Alligator mississippiensis: one gene and its partner. The protein of the gene in region 2 interacts with the protein of the main gene of each other region in a biochemical or structural test. Links are inferred from orthologs where the notes say so. Each region holds a gene or a part of one and is shown on either strand. Other genes may lie near its edges.

Region 1 (10,075 bases), on a different chromosome or scaffold from region 2:
GTTCTGGTAGATTTGCAGAAACACCTTACAAATCTGGGGCTGTGGATGACTAGCATAGTAGAAACCATATTTTCATATCTACTAGACAGAAGAGGATGTAAATGTTCTGTACCTATTAACAAGCTAGTAGGCATAGTCCAGTAGCTTTAGCCTTGAATTAACCATTTGGATAAACTGAAAATGTGCCGTAGGACTTGTTTTGATTTTTTTTTTCGTTAAGGACGCTCTTTTCTCTGAAACAGAAATGGCAACAACTCAAACCCACTCTAATTTGATTAGACAGATTTTGCACACCACTGGACACTAGTTTCTTCTGAGCATAACATCGATGCAAACTGATTTATCTGGGAAAGGGTAGTCATGTCTTCAAATTTCTACATTGGCTTAGACTGTCAACTAACTCTCTCATTTTCTACTGACAAGGTACAACATTTTCTCTTAAAAAGCATGTGTTACTTTGATCAACAAAATCTTCTGTTGGGTAACCTGAAAGATGAGTGTCTTTCCCTTCAATGATTTAACCACATTAGTTGTCTGATCAGAATTTAGGCAAAATTTAGAATTCCAACCCCCTGTCCCCCCGCAAAATGCTACATAGCTGGAAACTCCATAGGAAGTGACTTTGGGGGTTTTTGATGGTTTTTTTTTTTTTTGGCGGGGGGTGTTGATTGTATTTACAAATCTGAGTTACTTGCCAAAATACAAATTACACTAACTATACTACTTTCTAAGAATAAATCAACTAGTGGTCTAGGTTAGTGGGTCTCAAACTTTTAGATTCGAGGCACCCCTTCAACCTTTTATGAATTGAGTGGCACCTAGTTTCAAAAACTAATTAATTGCAGCACTTGCATCCCTGCAAAGGGGCTGAACAGTAGAGCGGGGGAGCAGTTAGGCAGGGAGAGCCTGAGCCTGCCCTTATCTGCTTATCTCCTGATACCTCCTGTGGCACTCCTCAAAGGATCTCAAGGCACCCAAGGGTACCACAGAAGAACCCTGGCTGAGAATAACTAGTCTAGGTGGTTTAAGGATTTGGTAATAGAAAAGAGTCCTTTACCTCTAGGTCACGGGTTTTGCATGTTAATAATGAACAGAAGTAATAACAAAAAGTAGTTTAATAGCCTCCTCAAACTGTGTTGGGGTATCAAGGACCAGAATTACACATCACCAAAAAGCAGTTAGCTTTGACATTGATAGATCTTCTTTATAGATTTAAGCTGAGACCAAAAATTACACTATGTAAAATGGAATTAAATGTAAATTAAATTCCTCACTAAATATGGACCTTCCTAGACAACAAGGAGGTGCAGTATGAATAGTAGATTTCTGCCTCTCTCCCTGCCCAATCATCACAGAGCATTCAATTCTCTTCTAGTTAAAAAGAAAAACAAGCCAACAAAAATCCTTGTCCACATCATATGTATTGGGTGGTAAATTTTGGCTCTGTTCCTCACTTTGGTTCTCATTTGGCAGCATGAAGGCTCAGACTTGCAGCCAGTAAGGTGCTACACGGTGTAAATAATAATAACATAGCATGACTAACATGCTCTGTGAGAATGCAAACCTCCTGATCAATTTGAATGCACAGGAACAAAGGATGTGGGATTATCAGAGGCACAGGAAAATGTATTTCACCAAATTACAGATTGCTATAATTCCTGCTAGATTGATATCCTCACTGTAAACTGTTTGTGAGAAAATACCCTATAAATTTTTATGACTGTTTTGCACTTTTGAGCCAAAAGCTTCTCTGACACAAATTCCACTGCATACATGGAATTATTCCATGAATTAACTTGGCTCAGTCAGTTTTTCTCTAAAATCAGCTACCCCAGGAGTTTGACTAGATATGAATTTACTACTGCATTTCTTTTAATCTCCTTACAAGTACAGGGAAATTTCTCTCAACAGTCTATTCAGCTTACATTCAGTTCTTAATCTGTTTTTGTTTCCAGAGTCTGTGCACACATTTCTTTGCCAACACTTTGGATTCTTATCCCACATTGTCGATTACTGTCTTTTCAAATGTCTCGCTACAAAATAGGGTTGTTAGGGACTAAATCAGTAACTTGATGACAAGTAACTTAGTTTTGATTTTTGGTTCTTCTGTGCAGTGTTGTCTAGCTGGTGTAGGACTCCAGGGCAACTCTGACCCAGAATCATGGGATCCTATCCAGTCAGTGAGGATGCTATGATGCCCTATTAGGGAGGTGTTTTGTTAACAGAGGTAGTCTATCAGACTCATTAAAATACATTTAAATGTTAAATATGTACCTTCTGTATATCTTTTATGGCTGGCCAGGTAGTAGATAAATATTGTACGACACTTCAAAAGAACAGGGAATAAATTTGGCCAGACTCATTTCCAAAGTTCCTTCTCATAATAAAAAAGGTCCCACTGTTCCAAGCTGTAGGAGAGCTATTGCTGACTGCATACAGTAAGTGGCTGTTACAGCTGCTTAAACACTTATAACATTCCCAATGTCTAACTCAGTGCCAGGTGTTTTTACAAAGCAATAACTCAAATGTGAAAGGTGACTTCTAAAACCCAATCTATTATATAGATTTAATAGTGTTCAACGTTCAAAAATTACATTAATACAAAAAGCTGATGGCTAAGCACCCAAAAGTCAGAAGAAAATGACAAAGGTTATATGTTGACCCATTTTATGAACTTGTGTTTTCTTTTTAATTGACTGATTAAAAATATTCCAGATTATAATACCCTTTAAGTAGTATACTTTGAGTTTGGTTTGTTGTGCATTTTGCTTTTTTCATGTTACCCACTGAATATTTATCATGAGGATATCTTCAGCAAGGAAGCTACTAGATCCCTGATCGCAAGAAAACTTTGTTTAAAATATGCAAGTGAAGCATGTGCATAAATGTTAGGAAGAACAGGGTTGAAGAGCTGTCAAATGCACAAACTAAAAACAAGAAACAATTTTTGTATTGCTTTGCTGACTCCTTTCAGCTTGAGTAATCATAGGCTTTAATCATGATGATGATGACATATACAAAAATCTCTCAAAAATGCGATTTTTTTTTCAGGTTGGGTATATCCCTTAAACTGTTCTTCCATGCATAGCTATGAAGATATAATGTCTTAGCTAACCCAATAATGTTGTTTTTCAAATTGTACATTCATATACTTCATAACTATTGTAGATAGGTGCAGCTTCTTGCAATATGTTTCTGTTTTGGGTTTAAAAGCAGTTTTCATGATCATTATGTTTCTGGATGTAGTTCTTGATGGAGAAGTTCTTCTCCCTCTCAGATATGGCTTTTAATAACCGTCAGCACCTCTACACTATATATTTTTAAGTATAAATTGAAGAATCATATGTTACATAATTAAGGACAGTACTGTAAGGAGATATACTCAAGGGGCCAAAGACAAGGTTAGTCTAGGTAAGCTTAACGTTAGACTCTTTGGATATTTGATACTTAAACCCTTGTTCTGCAACAGCATCTACAACTGGACCTTCATACCCACGTGACTTGTATTAGCTTAAATTGCAGAATTGATGTACATTTCACCCATGAAAATACCTGCAGTCATGATTGTACATTCCCAGAAACTTCGAGCTAGCTCTTTTGCTCCCAAACATTCGATAGCTAATGTTAAGGTCAGCATTTTGCCCACTAATATTTCTGCAATTTCCCACTGATTTCCGGGCCTGATTATCTAAGTCAATGGTGTTCACATTCCTTTGGTATGTTTGAACATGAGGCGTTAAGTGCTTCAGACCATGCACCCAAATAGCAGTGGTTATTAAAAAAAAATCAAAAAAAAAATCGGCCTACATACTTCAAAGGAAAGCCCAGCCCTTCTCTCTAAAATAGGACAGAAGTCTTTTCCTTTTTATGTAATGTTTGGTATAAAGGTTTAAAAGCCTTTATTTAGCTGCTGCTTGCTTTGTGGTATACGATCTTTGTATACGATCTGAGACTCCTCAGGCACTAGCCTTGCTTTTAAACCGCCCTGTACTTTCTCTTGGGAAATGGGCTAGCTGCTGAAGTGAGCTCCAGCCCACGACAGCTTGTGCTATACATATCTTTAATTTAGTTTATCTGTAAGGTACAAATCTTCCCCAATGTTCCTGTAACAGCATTCGGCCTTCTCAGTTCTCTCTTTCAGGGACCCAGCCCCAGAAGAGTTCAAAATCCTGCCTCCATGTGATTACCTGATGCAGGGGTTTTCAACCTTTTTTCATAAGCGTACCCCCAGTGGCTCCCTTTTTAGTAAGTGTACTGCTGGGGAGGGATGGCGAGCGGCCAGACGCAGAGCGGGGAGGGGGATGGCAAGCAGCTGGTCACTGAGCGAGTTGGGGGCTGGTGGCAAGTGGCTGGATGCCAAGCAGGGGCATGGTGAGCAGCCGAGTGGTGGCAGCACAGTGTCCGTGTGGCCCTGCTCTTGACCTGTCCCTGCTCCTGTGAGGCAGCAGCATGGGGTGGCAGTTCTCCATCCCTGCCTCCCCCACCCCAGGTACTCCCCCAGACCTTTCAAAGTACCCCTGGCCTGTGGAGAGGGGTGAGCGGCAACCACCTGCAGGTGCCGCTGGTAGCGTTGGCAGTGCCTTTTTGCAAGGGATGCGCTGCCCCACTCAAGGGGTACACATGCACCCCCTACGCGCTGCCAATGACCCCATAGCAAAGGAACCTCAAGTCTGGACAAAGGTAGGAGGACAGCTAGGGGCTCCCTGAAGGACAGCTGTGCCTCTGTGGCCAAGTTGCAAGAGAAGATTCAGTTTGGAGGTGAAGGAAGACAGGCGCATGTGGGAATAAAGGAATAAACAGTCTTCAGAGGGAGAAAAGCGACCTATGTATGGGGAGGGGAGAAAGGCCAATGGTGAGTCTGGGCACTGGGCCCAAGCCTAACATGTCGGGAGGGCGGTAAGGCAGGAAAGGGCTGTAGTGGAGAGAGAGGAGGAAGGTGCGCGGAAAGGGAAGAGGATCAGTCAGTGAGGCTCCCTGGGGCAGCAGTGAGGGTCCGGGCCAGCCCTCCCGCGTAGGGCTAGCGAGACAGAGGGGAGCCCGTGCGCGGGGAGGGGCCTGGAACGCCGCGCGCCCCCCAGCCCCAGGCTGACGTGCGGCTGCGCCGTGACGTCAGGGTGTTCCCCGATGACGTTGCGCGGCTCATGCGCACTGGGCGCCACGGTCCTGCCGGGTGACGTCACGGGCGGGGAGTGACGTGCCGGTGGCGCGGGCCGCTAGGAGCAGGCTGGTTCGGGTGCCCCCTCCCCCTCCCGCTACGGGTCGCGGCTGGGGGCGGCCCGGCTCCCCTGTCCCCTCCCTCCCGCGCCCGGGCGCTCCGAGCCAAGATGGCGGCGCTGAGCAGCGGCAGCAGCGCCGAGGGGGCCTCGCTCTTCAACGGGGACATGGAGCCTGAGCCGTCGTCCGCCGGGCCCTGCTGCGCGGGGGGCAGCGCCGAGCCGCCTGTGCCCGAGGAGGTGAGGCCGGCCGAGGCCCCCAGCCCGCGTCTCTGAGGGGTCGCGCCCGGGCCTCCCACCGGGCAGCAGGTGGCCGTGCCCGGGGGGCCCGCGGTCCTGGGGCTGGGGCCGCCGGGAAGGGCGCGGCGGGGAAGTTGGGGTTGGGCATTAGGAGGAACTTTCTGTGAAGGAGGGGGGCAGAACACAGGTACGGGGGCTCGGGGGGGTGTATCTCCAGGCTTGGGGGGTTTTAAGTGTCAGAGCCTTGGGTGGGATGGTGAGCTTGGGGCTGATCTGGCTTTGAGCAGGGGTTGGGGTCAGTGAGGCCCCTTCCAGCCTCAGTTTCTACGTTTCCGTGGGAGTGCTCGGGTGGGGGCACACAAGACCTTGGTCCCCGTGTCTTGCTGCCCCCAGACAAGCTGCTTGGGTGAGCAGGCCTCTTGTGGGCTGAGGGAGCAGAGGGAGTATCCGAAATCCTGGATTGAAGCGTCTGAGGTGGAGGATGCTCACCTGGAGTATCTGGGGGCATCTGCACCCCAAGACCTCTGGGCTTGGGCCTGCACATAGGATGCCTGCCTGCCAATTGTTTTGGGAGTATCTGAAGTCCCAGGGGGATAGGTCTGGGATGGCGCGTGTCGTGTCGCTGGTTGTAGCGCCGGACATGGGGTTCGGACTGATGGAGCTCAGCCTGCTCAGTCGACAGTTTTTGGAACGATTGAGTTCTGCTTAAATTGATATGGTTTGGCTGATTTGACCTAGAACAGGAAACATGGTTAGAAAGAAGTGCACTGGGCTGGTGGGCAGGACACTTGCATTCTCTTTCCTGGTTCCTGCATCTTTCTTTTCATGGTTTCACAGCCTGGGAAGAAAGAAAGGAGATGCTATACACCTGGCTGGCAGGGTGATACTTAAATTGTTGCTGTCAGTAAAACATTGGGAGAAGCTGGGGTTGCAGGCAGCGTAGAAAGGCAGAGTGCTTGGGTCTAAATTTCCTACCGCTGCCACAGCAAGTGGCCTGGTGTCACATGCATGGTCTGTTGTACAGCTGGGTTTAGAGTCCATAAATCCTGATCCTAGTCTAGTGCTTTTAATCAGTTAAAAAAATAACAGTGGGGGTGTTTGGGGAAGTTAAGATATATCCAGGTGAAGCCTCTTATTCAGGTCTAAACTACTTGTTGCCTTCATAACCGGAGTTAAATATTGTTTAACTTGTGAACATTCACTTCCCACCTGTATTTAATTTGTCTTCCTTTTCCTATGTTCTCAGTAAGTACATGCCTTGGTAAAACGTCAAAAGTTTCTGTATGTGAGGAGCCTGGTTGCCGGAGTCTAGTGGGGACCCATGTATTTGGCAGATTAACTCCACACCCTCCCCATGTGTCACTTGGATCCCTTTCCCCTGCCCAATGTGCTGCTTAGCTTCCTGGTCCCTGCCTGTCCACCACAGTTCTGCCTGTCCCCTCCCTTATCTGCCACCTGCCACGCGCAGAGGCTGCCTGTGCCACTCCTGGAATGTGTGCTGCAGGTTGGCCACCCATGCCTAAATCACTGTAGTACAGTCTAATGACTTTACTTCTAGTCCTGAACTATTTAATACAGATTTACTTTGTTAGTCAGTTGCCATATTTCTTCCCGTAAAACACTTCAGTATTTATTTAGAATACCTTCTATCCAGAAATATCAGTATTTCACTGATATAGGTTATGTATCATACAGCCTTAGGTACTATGTTTTTACAGTATGCTGTACAGAGATGAGAACTGAGATATATAGAATGGGTCTCTGGCAGGGCTGGGGTTGCAACCTCAATCCCTTGTCTGTCAGTTTTTTTCTTCCAAGTCAAATCTCTTCATGCATCCTCTTATCACTTTTGTCTAACTCGTTTTAATAGCATTATTTTTTGTAGTAGACCATAGAGTAATTTCTGTAGTTGAAACTTTGCTAATGGCATGGTTAAAATTGAGACTTTATTCCATACAAGATAAGAGGTTATAAAGTATAGTTTGAGTACTGAATACCATAAAAGTTGTGAAAATAGTAAAGCTCTCATAAGTGACTCATAGCAGCTTTAATCTGTTTGTGTTTTTGAATAATATGAGGAGGAAAAATAGTAATCATAAAATATAGAGATAAATATTACAACTATTTGCTGGTAACTGCTCTTGGACCTCTTTGCTTTAGGTTAGAGAATGGCTAGCGTAGTAGAAACCAGATTTTCATATCTAATAGACTGAAGAGGATGTAAATATTCTTCTGTACCTAGGCTTTAAGAGAATAAGAGTTTTAAAAAGTAACTAAACAAACATTATAATTATGGCCAATGTTTCCTCATAATAAATGTACTTAATTTAGCTCAGGTTATGTCTTGGTTTTAAAAAATATTTGTTTTCCACTTGACCACATTCATCCAAAAGTTGTAATATTGTAATTTAACCAAGAACATATACTGTTTTTGTTTGTGCTTTGCACACATCCTTTACAGTGGCTTGGTGCACTATGGGATAGGAAACTATTCTCTTCCTTCTCAAACTGTCTGCTATGCAGAAGGATAGTTAGTAGCCTCGTGCTTCTGTTGAGCTCCCCATCAAATAATTTCACTACAAAAATCTTTTTCTCTTAAAGACGATGAAGGTTTCAATTGTAAGTTCTTGCGTAGAGCCCTATCAAAAAAGTACAACTTCATTTGCTAGTCTCTACATGTTGAATGGCTTCAGGAAAAAAGTGAAGGTCATCTCTTGTCCCTTTAAGGATCAAATCTGGACTTTCTGAAATGGTACAGAAAATCTAGCTTTTTTGTAAAGTCTTCTCCTTCTACAGTTTTATAATTTGCCAGCATCTTTTGCCTACCTGTCATATTATAGGTAGGGAAAAGAATTTGACTCTCATAAATTTGTAAAGTGAATCTTTCAGTTTTTTTTATTTTAGCATAGTAGGTAATCTGGAGCAAAAGCATAATACTTTATTATGAGACCATTGGTTAAAGTTGCAGTAATCTATTTCCCAAATTTTAAGACTTGGGATTTTGAGAACAAAATTATGCCTATGTTACTGTTAAGTCTGAAGACAACTTGAAGTTGTTGCTTTTGATTTTTGGTTCTGTAGCCATAATTGTTGGGATAAAAACTGCTTTCATAATGAAGTGTTGTGTATATAGTACTTTGATAAAGTAAAGTATTTTTATAAAACAAAGTATGTAGAAGATAAACTGTAGAGAGAATAGCTAATGGCTAGTGTCTCTCTAATCTGAACCATAGTGCAGGTTTAACTCTTGTTACAGAGCTATATACATACACTGAAAAATAGTTGTGTGCTTATGAAATATGCACTTCCTAGAGACAGGGAGCTGATGATCCTGGAGGCAAGTGCATTTAGGGGAGATTAGGTTAAAAAAAAAACAAGAGTTGTTGGCAATGGGAGGAAAAGTAGAAATGACTAAACTCTGGGGTAAGCTTTTGGACTATAGAATTTTTAATTTAGTTTGCTTCACTGCAGGATGGTTTCTTTGGGCAAGGGATCATTTGATATAGTGAAGTGTGTCAGGGGTTGCCTATGTGAGGTACTTGGAGTGCATGGCAGCTGGGATTAAAGGCTTCATACCTTTCATTGTGGCTTATTTGCATAATTATTTAAATAATTCAAATCGGATCCCCTGTGCTTAGGATCAAATTCTAAAGTGCATTGTGCTGTTTGAGAGAGAGACTTTTGACTTTTTAAAAACCTTTCTTAAAAAAAACCAAACCAAAACCAAAAAAAACCCAGAAGGTGAAAGTGAAAGAGCAGAAGTGTGTGCCTTTCCCTCCTTCACCCCCAGGGCTGAGTGTGAACCACTTGTCAGTAACAGAAATGCATGTGTCACCAGAGATTGAAACCCCCTCCCCTAGCTGTCTGTCTGTCTTCTACCTTGAATACTTCCCCTTGAGGGTCCAGTGCAACACAAACTACTTCACATTTTTGCAAGGTGGTGTCCATCTCAAATGTAACATGCACCTAGACCAGGAAATAAAAGACTTGTAGGGCATCACTGAAGCCAGCCCCTGCAAGCTTGTTTCTGCAGCTCTTCAGGGTCATCTTGGCTTGGTCCAGCAGGAATTTGGCCAGGCAGATCATGCTCCTTTTGGCTTCTTGGTGCAGGATAGAGAAATCATATGCCATCTGGGAGAGGTCCAAGTCCAGTGCACCGAAGAGGGTGCTGTTGACAGCAAATAGTGGCCAGAACAGACGGCAGTCCAGGAAAGCATGGAAGAGAGTTTCCTCCGCCACCTCCATGAAGAAAGGGCAGGCTACTGACGCCACCAGGTAAAAGTGGTGGATAAAGGTGCCTGTTGTTAGGACCCTGTGCAGCAGCTGCCACTGGAGGGTCTCCAGTTCACTTGGTGAGAGAATTGAAATGAGAGGCTTAGGAATTCCCCAAAAGAGACCCAGAGCTGCTGGACTCAATGGTTGGGCATGATAAATTCTACCCATGTCTAATTCATACATGCATAGAAACTTTAAAATAGCATACAAATGAGGAAATAAATCCAGGAAAGAAACTCTTTTTGTGACCTCAATAACAAATAAGTAGTGTGACTGTGAGGTGATACAGACAGTCTAAAAAAAACCCCATTACCCTGTATTTTGGTAATACCTAGAAGACTTATTAT
Region 2 (10,983 bases):
TGGCCACAAGCTAGCAGAGAGCAGATTTAGACTGGACATTAGGAAGAACTTCTTCACAGTTCGAGTGGCCAAGGTCTGGAACAGGCTCCCAAGGGAGGTGGTGCTCTCCCCTACCCTGGGGGTCTTCAAGAGGAGGCTACACGAGTATCTAGCTGGGGTCATCTAGACCCAGCACTCTTTCCTGCCTATGCAGGGTGTCGGACTCGATGATCTTTTGAGGTCCTTTCCAACCCTAACATCTATGACTCTATGTTATCTAACCTAGAGTTCTGTCATTTCAGTTTAAGCCCCTTGCTGCTTGTCCTGACCGCTGTGAACACAGAGAACAATTTCATAGATTCATAGATGTTAGGGTCGGAAGGGACCTCAATAGATCATCGAGTCCGACCCCCTGCATAAGCAGGAAAGAGTGCTGGGTCTAGATGACCCCAGCTAGATGCCTATCCAACCTCCTCTTGAAGACCCCCAGGGTAGGGGAGAGCACCACCTCCCTTGGGAGCCCGTTCCAGACCTTGGCCACTCGAACTGGGAAGAAGTTCTTCCTAATGTCCAATCTAAATCTGCTCTCTGCTAGCTTGTGGCCATTGTTTCTTGTAACCCCCGGGGGTGCCTTGGTGAATAAATCCTCACCAATTCCCTTCTGTGCCCCCGTGATGAACTTATAGGCAGCCACAAGGTCGCCTCTCAACCTTCTCTTGCGGAGGCTGAAGAGGTCCAGTTTCTCTAGTCTCTCCTCGAAGGGCTTGGTCTGCAGGCCCTTAACCATATGAATGGCCCTTCTCTGGACCCTCTCCAGGTTATCCATATCGCTCTTGAAGTGCGGCGCCCAGAATTGCACGCAGTACTCCAACTGCGGTCTGACCAGCGCCCAATAGAGGGGAAGTATCACCTCCTTGGACCTATTCGTCATGCATCTGCTGATGCACGATAAAGTGCCATTGGCTTTTCTGATGGCTTCGTCACACTGCCGACTCATGTTCATCTTGGAGTCCACTAGGACTCCAACATCCCTTTCCACTTCCGTGCCACCCAGCAGGTCATTCCCTACAGATTTATCCCAGTCCTTCCTACAGAAACCTTTTTTGTATTTTAAGATGTGCAAAGAAGAGCCGGAGTGGCTTGAGAGGGTTTTATACTGTGTTAAGAGCACAGGAAGCCAGGGGCCAAACTAAAACAAAAAAGATAATAAAATCTGTCCAAGCTTCACCCACTTGAGACACCAACATGTGACTGTTCGCAGTAGGTTGTGCATGCTTTCTGCACCTGAGATTTTCAGTGGGGTTCAAACTTTTATTAGCGCTAAAATTTAAAGTGCACAAAATTAATGCATCATATGTTAACTAGATTAAGACAGGCTAACTGCTAGATCTCAAAGTAACTGTAGATCAGGAATCATCTTTGTGTGGGGTATTTCTTGCAATGTCCAGCAAAGATCTGTTCTTGCCCCTGAGCAATACTGTATCAGTGATGCAGAGCAATGGTGCTCAACCCTTTGGTCCTGTGGGCCAGGTGAGTGGTGCTGATCCGGTAGGCAAGATTGCTCCATGGGCCAGATTCAGTGTGGTGTCAGCATGCAGAGTTGGTCTGTGGGCTCTAGAAGCTGCAGCAATTAATGCTGAAACAGCTCTTCCGACAGAGAGGAAACAATGCGAGTGGCAAGTCAGCCACTGCTCACAAAAACTGGACAGCTTTTAAGGGGACATTGTAGTTGTAGACATTGAAAATGACACGTACCCAAGCAGCGATGTGGAAAATGAAGAGAATCCAAGGGTCAGAAGAAGAGTTGGACGTGGTTAGAGCAGCAGGCAAATCTGATGGTCCTTGTAGCAGTGTTTTTGATAACTGGAGATGGGAGTACCCAAGTTTTCAGAGCAAGCAATGCCAGGGTCCCCTGTATTAATGCAGACTCACCACCAGTGCTGAACCTATTCGATAGAAATGCTGAAATGAATTAATTGCAGCATGTGTAACAAGTAACTTCTGGTGATCAATCTGTGCATGCAGATACCAAGTGTGTTACCATGGTGACAAACACTATACAATTAAAAACAGTATTTTTTCTAAGAACTCTGAATATATCATTACCTGTGGTAGTTTTCATAGAAATCTAGCAACGATGTTGATGAGAGTGGTCCTTTGGGGTAACTGGCTGATATTCCTTATCATCCTTCCCCACTGCTTTACCATTGATCGTTGAAGCAGTGGCAGGAACTAAGTGTTGGCTTGGAGAAGATCTCTCCTTGCATTCCATGGAGTTGCTGGGCACAGGGTTGTTGGAACAAAATAGCCCCGAGTTTCTCATAGATTGCATTAAAGAATAGCAGCAAGAGCAGCTGAAGGCAGAGTAGAAGGAAATGGACTTGAAAGGGAGTGAACGACCTTGACACCCAAAAGTATTGTTAGTAGCCTGTACTCAGCTCAGCACCTCTCCTGCACCTACGTGTATTCCTCTCCAGTGCCAGATGGGCATCGCTGTCTCAGAAAGGTTCTGCTATGTGCCCAAAGGACCTGTGCAGTTCACAAGTCAAGCCCAGCAAGCTAGGGCATCTAGAGCAGAAGCCTGATGGGGAGTGACCTCAGGAATTACATTTTGAGTGGGCGTATGTGGCTGTGATTCTTGAATGCGGGGGGAGTGTCTTTTGCACAAATTGTCCTTCCAAACAGTCTTGGATGGCACGCTAAGTACCTTACAGACATGGGGGCAAATTCTTTAAGGCACAGATTAACTGGATTGACAGTGCATTTTACGTACATTATGCTACTTGAGGAAAATTCAGCAGTGGGGCTGGAGGAGTTAATTTGGCTTGGATCTCATTTCCAGCTTGGCCTTTACAATCAAAATGCCTTTTCTTCCTCAAATGTAGCTGTTTTCCAGAGACTCACTTTGAAAGAGTGTCCCTGAAACAGATACTGGATAGTAAAATCCCAAGAGGCCGCAGCAGAAGTGTATTTCAATTGACAAAAAGCTGGATGAAGTGGAATGAAAATGGCCTACTGAATTCTCCAGGGGTTTTGGTGAGAGCTCTGGTTGCTTCTGGATGTTAATGAGCTTGTAGCGGCAGCCACAGCTCAGACCACTGATAGAGACCCAGCTCGCTGTGCCTAGCGCATGGCTGACGGTGCCAGGGCGCGCACGGTAACTGGGGAGCCTGCTGCACTTCCAAGACTCGCCCAGTCTTCTCTGCTGCCATGTAACTGGCACGGGAGCTGCCCCAGGATAGTTCCTTAATTAGGGATTGTTTCCCAGTTGGAAAAAGAAAGGGATGCAATTGAGCAGGATGCTGCGTTGGGACAGAACAGCAACAGAGACCCTGCCTACTTGCCAGATCTTTGCAAATTGTTTCAAAAACAGGGAAGGGAGGAGTCATTTCCATTTTCAACAGTCTTTTCCAACTAATTACGTGTATTCATTTCTATTCCAGCAGTGCCAAAAGACCCTTATCAAAGATCAGGGCCTCATTATACTTGGCACTATCCAAATGAATAATAAAACATTCCCTCCTCTGGGAAAGGTTTCAGTTTTCCCAGTAGATTGCCAGACATTGGGAAAGGTAGTGAAATGATATAAAGTCAGCGCTCCTCTCGTCTCATACCATGCAGCTCGAAGGATGAGTTGGTAAGCAAATCGTGCGATTGGATATTTTATCGAACAAAGACATCTCCCTCTGGACAGACGGGGCACAGGAGTTTGGACTCGCTGGAAGCCCACCCAGGATGCCTTTTGGGACAGGAGCAGGCTAGGAAAGTGCACGGCTGATCCTGACAGGAGAAGAGCTACATACTAAGGGCAAAACTTGGGCTATGGTTGTGTTTGCTCTGGTTAAAATGAGAGCTGTTTCAAAACCCAGAGTTGGCAGCATAGCAAACTGAGGTGGCATTTGGACAATGATGGTACTAATGGCCCTAGCTACCTGAGCACCAGACTTGAGACACCCGATGCCTGGTTTTTGAAAGGGTTACTCAGGACGCAGCTGACACCCTTGGGAGCTGTAGAAGGAGCACGGCTTTGAGAATCAAAGGTCCCAAGTTAGAATCCTGCTCCACCACTGACTCACTGTGTAGCCTGGGGCAAATCCCTGCATCTTCCTTTCCACCTTCCTCATCTGTCAGGTGGGGATTACAGTATCCCTAGTTTCCCAGAGGTGTGGTTGCAAGGATCGGTGTCTGTACCTTGCTTTGAATGCACAAAAACGCTAATAAGTGCTCCGACCATCAAATCTCAGGTACCCCACATTGGGGGTTTTCACTGAGGCACAGGAAATTCGTGCAGGGTTTAGATGGGAGGCAATCCTCTATCCTCTCCCAGATTTGGGAGGCAGTCCCCTCAGTGCCTACGAAGGAAAAGAAGTCCTGTCTCGTTCACTGAATGGCATTCGTCCTGCAACTGGAATCACGTAGGTGTTCTGTGCAGAGTTTGATCGTATAACTAGCTGCATCATATGCACAAAGGGGAAGATATAAAATCGTTGAAGCAACTTTGTATCTAGTAATGAGTTTGCAACCAAAAAAACCATTGTTTAAAATGTTGGGTTTTGTATTCTAGGTACGTAATTGCACTGGGAAATTGGGCAAGGTCAGAGAGGAAGAACCTGTGATGCTTGTACACTGCTACAAGAAGCTTCAACAATGAACTGTTGGACTAGAACTTCAGTTGTGACGTGGCGGTGATCCTGGGATGGTGAGGTATTTCCATGGCAGCCTTCCCCCATTGACACTGGTGCACAGGACATGCATTCATTTCTTTAATTTTTCTCTCATTTGCTGCTGCCTCCATTTGCCTTATGGTGCTGAGATTTACTGCTCTGCCTTCCTTGGTAAGGGCTGTTCTGAAAGTTTCCCAGGGAAGCCCTCCTTACTCCCATCAGTTATTTCACGTGGGAATCTTTGTGCTGGTATCCGGAAACAACATGCCTCAGATGTCTAGTGCTTCCCTCTGATTCTGGCGGAGGCGAGCTGCTGGCTGGGGATTTCTTGGACCTCTTGAGTGGCGAGGAAGAGTGCCCGTGCAGTGCCCACAATCTTTCACAGGTTCTCGTTTTTGAGGACGTTCTGTTTCCTGTATAATGTGGTAAATCCCCAGCTCTTGCAGCCCTGCTGTAGCATAGATTATATTGGAGTTGTAAAGACTACTCTCCACTGTGGTTCCAGTGCTGCGTATCTTTGCTTTGCAGGTGTTGTTGAGCTGAATAAATGTGGATGTTATTCCCGTCTCTGATGCCACTGAGCTCTCTCCTGGTAACATGGTGCTGCCCAGGTAGATGGCCTGGTTTGTTTTCTACAATGTTTTTGCCTTCTGGTGCGATACTGCAGTTTCACAGGGCACTGGCGAGACCTCGGAAAGACTGCATGCGATTCCAGTTAGTTGAAAGAGGAATTCAGACAGGAACAGGTATAGACGAGGGTTACTGGGATGCTCTGGGGAATTGAGAGCCTAACGGTTGGGTTTGTTTAATCTAGCGAAACAAAGACAGATGCAGTGTGATGTGACTGTAATTTGTAAATACAGGAAGGAGGTAAACATCATGGCTGGGAAAGAAAACAGTCTAAAATAAAAGACAACGCTGGCACAAGAATGAATGGAGATTAACGTAGCTGTGAATCATGTAGGCTTGAAATTAGAAGGCTCATAACTATCAGAGGAGTGAGGTTTTGGAAGAGCCTCCCAATAGGAGAAGTGGGGGCAAGAAACGGGACTCGTTTTACGATGGAGCATCAGTGTGTGGATGCGACCACGCGGCGTGGTTCCCTGCAGCAGCAGGACACTGCTAGGCTCAGCGACCCAGGAGCTGTCGCCCGGTCCCACGTTCCTGTGTCCACGTGCGCACGCCACGGTAGTGTCTCCTGCTTCCACCGGGAGATTTAGAAACAACAACCATTGCTGGAAGTATTCAACTGAAATGAGTTAATAAAAAAGTGGGGGTTTTTGGCAGGGGGTGGGCAAACCTAAGATTTGGACCAAATCTGAACCAACTAATGCTTTTTCAAGAAACCTGTTCAGTTTCTTTCAGCCCTAGTTCTCTACGATCTACGCCGGGGCCCACAGCGTTTTTGGGCAGCGCCAGAAGCCCCCGCACGACCCGGACTGGTAAGGTGTCGGGGTGCTGGGATGCATGGCAGGGGACCCGAGGGGCCTGCGCCCGGGCGTGGCAGTGCGGCCCCAGCCCCTTCCCCAGCGTGTGCCCCGAGGCGGGCACGCCGGCGCTGGCACGAGTGTGGGGCTGCCTGCCCCGTTGATGACCCGCTCGCTCACCCCTCTTCCGCGAAACGTGGCACAGATCTGTGCTGCAAGAACAGGTGCTGGTACCGCCCGGCCACCGCCGAGTCACACCTTGCCTGGGCGGTGTCCCCGTGCCGTGGGTGCGCGGACAGGGCGTGTCACGGCGCGGGCTGCCACCGGGTCTCGTACAGCCCCCGCCCGCCACGCTGTTGGGCCTGTAACAAAGTCGCCCCCGCACGAGGAGGCGGCTGCAGCTGTGCGGCCCGCGGGGTGGCTGCCCTGGCGCGCGGGGGCCTTGCTGGACCCCCCCCCCGCCCGTGCACGGGGGCAGCGGCGTGCTTGTGTCCGCTCCCCCCCGGCCCGGGGCTGCCCGCCCTCGCCGCCCAGCGCCCCGCCCCGGCCCGGCGCAGCAGGCAGCGGAGCGGAGCGGAGCGGGGCGGGATCCGGGGCGCGGGCGCGGGCGGCTCCTCCCCGCCGCCACGCCCGGGCAGAGCAGGAACAGGAACCGCCGCTCCCGCCCGCCCGCCCGCCCGCGCAGCCCAGCGCAGCGCAGCGCAGCCCCGCGCCCAGCGCACCCGGCCGCCATGTCGGTGTCGGACGAAGCGGACGGCCCCGGGGTGGCCCGGCCACACTATGGCTGTGAGTACCGGCTCCGCTCCGCCCGCCCCGCCCCGCACCGCGCCCGGCAGGCAGGCAGGCAGGCAGGGAGGGTGGACGGACGGGCGGGCGGGGGGCGCGGTGACCCGCCCGCGCGTGGCGTGGGGAGCGGCCGCAGCGCGCGGTGGCGGAGGAGACGCCCGCAGCCCCCGCCCCGCCCCGCCCCGCACGGAGGGCCCTGGCACCCGTCCCTTCCCGGAGCGGGCGCGGTGCTGAGCCCCGGGCCGCCAGCACGAAGCGCGCTGCAGCGGGGGCGCGGGGCGCCGGGCAGGTGTCTCGCGGCCCGGCCCGGCCCGGCCGTGTCGCGTGGGCAGCTTCCCCCCGTGGCGCGGGGGCTGCTCGTGCGTTGGGTGGCAGCGCCGAGCAGCCTGTGCCGGGCGTGTGGGGTGGCCGTGCGGCCCCGGGTGCTCGGCCTTGGCTTCCCCCAGGCCTTGGGGCCGGCTTCCCTCCTCGCCTGCCAGGCCGTCACCCACGTGCGAGCCCGGGAAGGGAGGCTGCCTGGGGATCCCCCTTCAGCAGCTACCTCTCCCTGCTCATCCAGCACTGGAGGGCTGGGTTCCTGGCCTCCTCACCTCCCAGCTGCACCCAGGCCTGGCACATGTTGCCAGCGATGACTCAGTTCAGGCCCTGCTCCGGGCTCTGTAGCCCTGCCTCTGCCCTCTCTGGGACTGGCTCTCGCCAGCCCCAGCTCTCGTTCTTCCTCGGCCCTGTTCCTGGGCTCTGGCCCTCCACCACCCCCGGTCCCAGGCCCAAACCACCAGTGTTTTCCAGGCAGGTCCACAATACTCTACTTGCCTGCCCTACTCCCAGGCTCAAGCGTATCCCTGGTGCGAGTCAGGGGCTCCTCTGCTGCCCTCCCGGGTGGGAGCTCTTCCTCCCATACCTGCCCCCGCTCGGGCCCGGGCTTATACGCTCTCACCTGGCCCCTTCCAGTCCCTTGAATGCCACCTGGGCTCTTCCTAGAGCCTTTCTCCTGAAGTAACAGGAGCGCAAAGGTGCCTGTTACGACGTGCAGATGCTGCACAGACCCTCAGGGTTAGGATCTGAACATGGTGGAGTTTCCAGTTTCTCCTGTGTGCGTCCCTGTCCCATGTGAACAGCCCAGCATTGTGCGGTGGAGATGGGCTGCAGTCCGTACGCACGTCTTCTCCGGCGTGAGGTGCCCGGTTCTCTCTTCGTGCCTCCTACTCGCCTGCGTCAGACGCCCGGCTGCCCTTCCATATGTCTCCTCTTGCTTCATTTGATACAAGAACATTTTGGTTGTTGCAAGACGATTCCTTTTTTCTGCACAAAGAGACTGTCTCCTTTCTGAATCGATACATAATCTGTTCCCGTTTGTAGTCCTAATGTAATTTTTAACATTGAAAAGCTGATAAACTGTAGCGTTAATGTTTTAACTTTACCTCTGCCCCTTCTGTATCTGCATGGTGAAGGACGTGACTGCGCACCCTTCTTTGCACAGGCTCCGGGTCTCATTCTCAGTACCGGTTAGAAGGGGGATGAGGCTTGGCTTCCAAGAGAATGAAAAAGTGCTCCTGTGGGGTTATGGCTGCTTTGAGACCTAAATTGTCACAATTGCATAGAAGCAAATGGATCTTACTTTGAATATGCCTGTGTGTAAATGGGTAAATAGAAAATGAGGGCTGGAAGGGACATCTGGTCCAGCCCCCTGTTCAAAGTAGGACCAGCTCCAGCTGTTAGATTTGGACGCTATGTATATTGAGTAAGGTGAGGGGTCTCTGTTTAGTAGTAGTGGAAACAGGAGTACAGGTGCTAATTGCATGCTAAATGAGTCTAGGATAGTTAGGAAATAATAGTATGTGATTATGTATTTTAAACACTGTATCGTTATGCAGATGTGAAATGAGAGACTGTGTTGCACAAGCCCTGTCTCCATTAATGGCAGCCTGCAGCTTAATTATGTTAAAAACCCCAGATTAGACCCTGCTAAATGCAGTTGAAGTCTTTTTTGGGATTTAGCTGTGAAAATCACTAAGCCACTGTGAAGGGCAGTTTTAGCCCTTTCCCCCAAAGGATTTATAGATTGACCAGATTTGGGTGGGTTTTCATAGGACAGCAAAAGGCACTTTTTTGATGTAAAGGCCACCCATGTACCAAATGCCAAGTTCCTGTTCAAAAGTATGGCAGTGCTAGAGCTTCTTAAAACTAATGTCATCAGGTTATTTTAAAATGGGCAAAATATATTTTTCTTTCCACTTATTCTTGGAAATGGCTGAACCTCCTTGTCTGAAAATTTTCAGAATGATTCAGCCTGAGGTTAGCGACCAGTATGCAGAATTTCAGCCTAAATAGCCAAAGTTTGAAGTTGTGCCCCATAAAATAGGAAGCATCAGACAGTGTTATAACAGCAGTTGTGCTGTCAGCTCACTTTGGGTCAGAAGGAGCGTGCAGATATCCATGTTACCAGATTATGTAGTTGTCATCTTCCCCCTTCATCTCAAACTTCCCCAAAAATTCACGGTCGAGCCAAGATTAGACACTGACAGTGTTCATTTGAAATCCTGTCTAGCACTACTCCAGCTATGCAGGTGGTCCAGTCAGAGACATTGCTGTTAGAAATCCTTGCTTCTCCCAGTATGAATCACAAAACCGTGGGAAAGCAGGGCTGGAAGGATGCTCCAGAGGTCGTCTAATCCAGTCACCTGCATGAGGCAAATCCATTAGCTAACCTCTCAGCAAAACTGCGTGGTCAGCCGTGACACAGTCACACAACGACACCTGAACCTGCCACAGGTAAAGCAGGGGGGCCATGGCGGCCATCGTCCCACGGTTGTTAAAAAACACTCGAGGTCCAAAGAAGAGAGCCAGGCCCCACTCCCTTTAGAGGAAGGTGTATGGACCCCCCCCAGTCTGTACGAATCTGACCGCAAGGTAAACCCCCCAGCGTAGTGTTGGTCTGGCCTTAGCCAGGAGCCTCTGGGTGCAAGTCCCAGCAGCAGCATAGGCACACCCCAGTAAAATACTTCTGAGGAAAGCAAAAAACCAAACAAACCCCTAAAACACACAGCAGTAGGGGGAGAAAAATTTCCTCCCAGCCCCATCTGGGACCCAGCAAAGCCCACAAGCCTGGGAAATACCCACAGTAGAGCATGGCAGTAGCTGCGTCTAGATCCTCCCTGACCAATGCTTATCCACTGCATGAGATGCTCCGGGCGCTTTAATTACAGGTACCGTATCCCAAAACTGCATTCGCCTTTTGTGCAACTGCATCATGCTGCAGACTCATGCCGAGTCTGTGATCTACCAAGACTTCCATATCCCAGGGGTAGTTGAAGGGAGGATGCACATGTTTGCGTAGGCTGCAGGATTGCAGACAAGGACCTGGGGGTTGAAGTGGACTGTAAGCTGAACATGAGCTAATAGTAAGCTCTTGCTGCAAAAAAAAATGCCAGTGACACCCGGGGTTGTATTGAGAGGAGTGTCACTTGCAGATCGCAGGTGTGGTCTCTCCTGGAGTACTGGGGCCAGTAGTGAGACCCGCACTTCAGGACAGACATGGACAGATTAGAAAGAGCCCACTGGAGAGCGACCAAAACGATGAAGCCTGGAAAACATGACTCCTGTTTGGAGAAGAGAAGACGGGGGATTTGATAGCAGTCTTCAAATACCTGAAGGATAGTTAAAGAGAGGATGAAGAGCAGAGACTTCTTTGTGGCCATAGGGAGCAACGGCCTCAAACGCAGCAGGGGAAATTGAAGTTGGAGACTAGGAGGGATTTTCTGAGAGTGGTCAAGCACTGGGACAGGCTGCATAGAGAAGTTGTGGGGTCACCGTTGTTGGACATTTTCAGGAGCAAGTTATCTACTCGTGTAGGATGCTTCAGTCAGGGATGTTCCTGCCTTTGGGAGGCGGCTGGGCTAGATGTGACTTCCTGGGGGCTCTGCCAGCTTGACTTCTCTGTGATTCTAAGATGTTGTAAGAGAAATGTTAGAGAGGGAAGGGGAGAGCAAGCAGACGGAGAGTCACAAAAGCTAAGGGAAGACAAGAGGTCAAAAAGTGGGCCGCAGTTGACTGTGATGAAGGCAGTTGACAGGCCGAGGAGGATGCGATGGAAGGCTGGCTCTGAGCTTTCCCAGGACAGAACGATT

The links.
Region 1: the proteins of IQGAP1 (region 2) and BRAF form a complex in vitro, tested with the Homo sapiens proteins (2 studies listed by BioGRID and IntAct). The link is inferred for Alligator mississippiensis from reciprocal best matches to the Homo sapiens genes IQGAP1 and BRAF.

The regions. Positions count from the first base shown.
Region 1 is NC_081827.1:109,985,125-109,995,199, reverse strand, and holds the start of BRAF (serine/threonine-protein kinase B-raf), read left to right. Parts: upstream 1-5,168; 5' UTR 5,169-5,324; coding exon 5,325-5,453; intron 5,454-10,075. UniProt on the Homo sapiens protein: Protein kinase involved in the transduction of mitogenic signals from the cell membrane to the nucleus. Phosphorylates MAP2K1, and thereby activates the MAP kinase signal transduction pathway. Phosphorylates PFKFB2.
Region 2 is NC_081834.1:412,614-423,596, reverse strand, and holds the start of IQGAP1 (ras GTPase-activating-like protein IQGAP1), read left to right. Parts: upstream 1-6,740; 5' UTR 6,741-6,801; coding exon 6,802-6,856; intron 6,857-10,983. UniProt on the Homo sapiens protein: Plays a crucial role in regulating the dynamics and assembly of the actin cytoskeleton.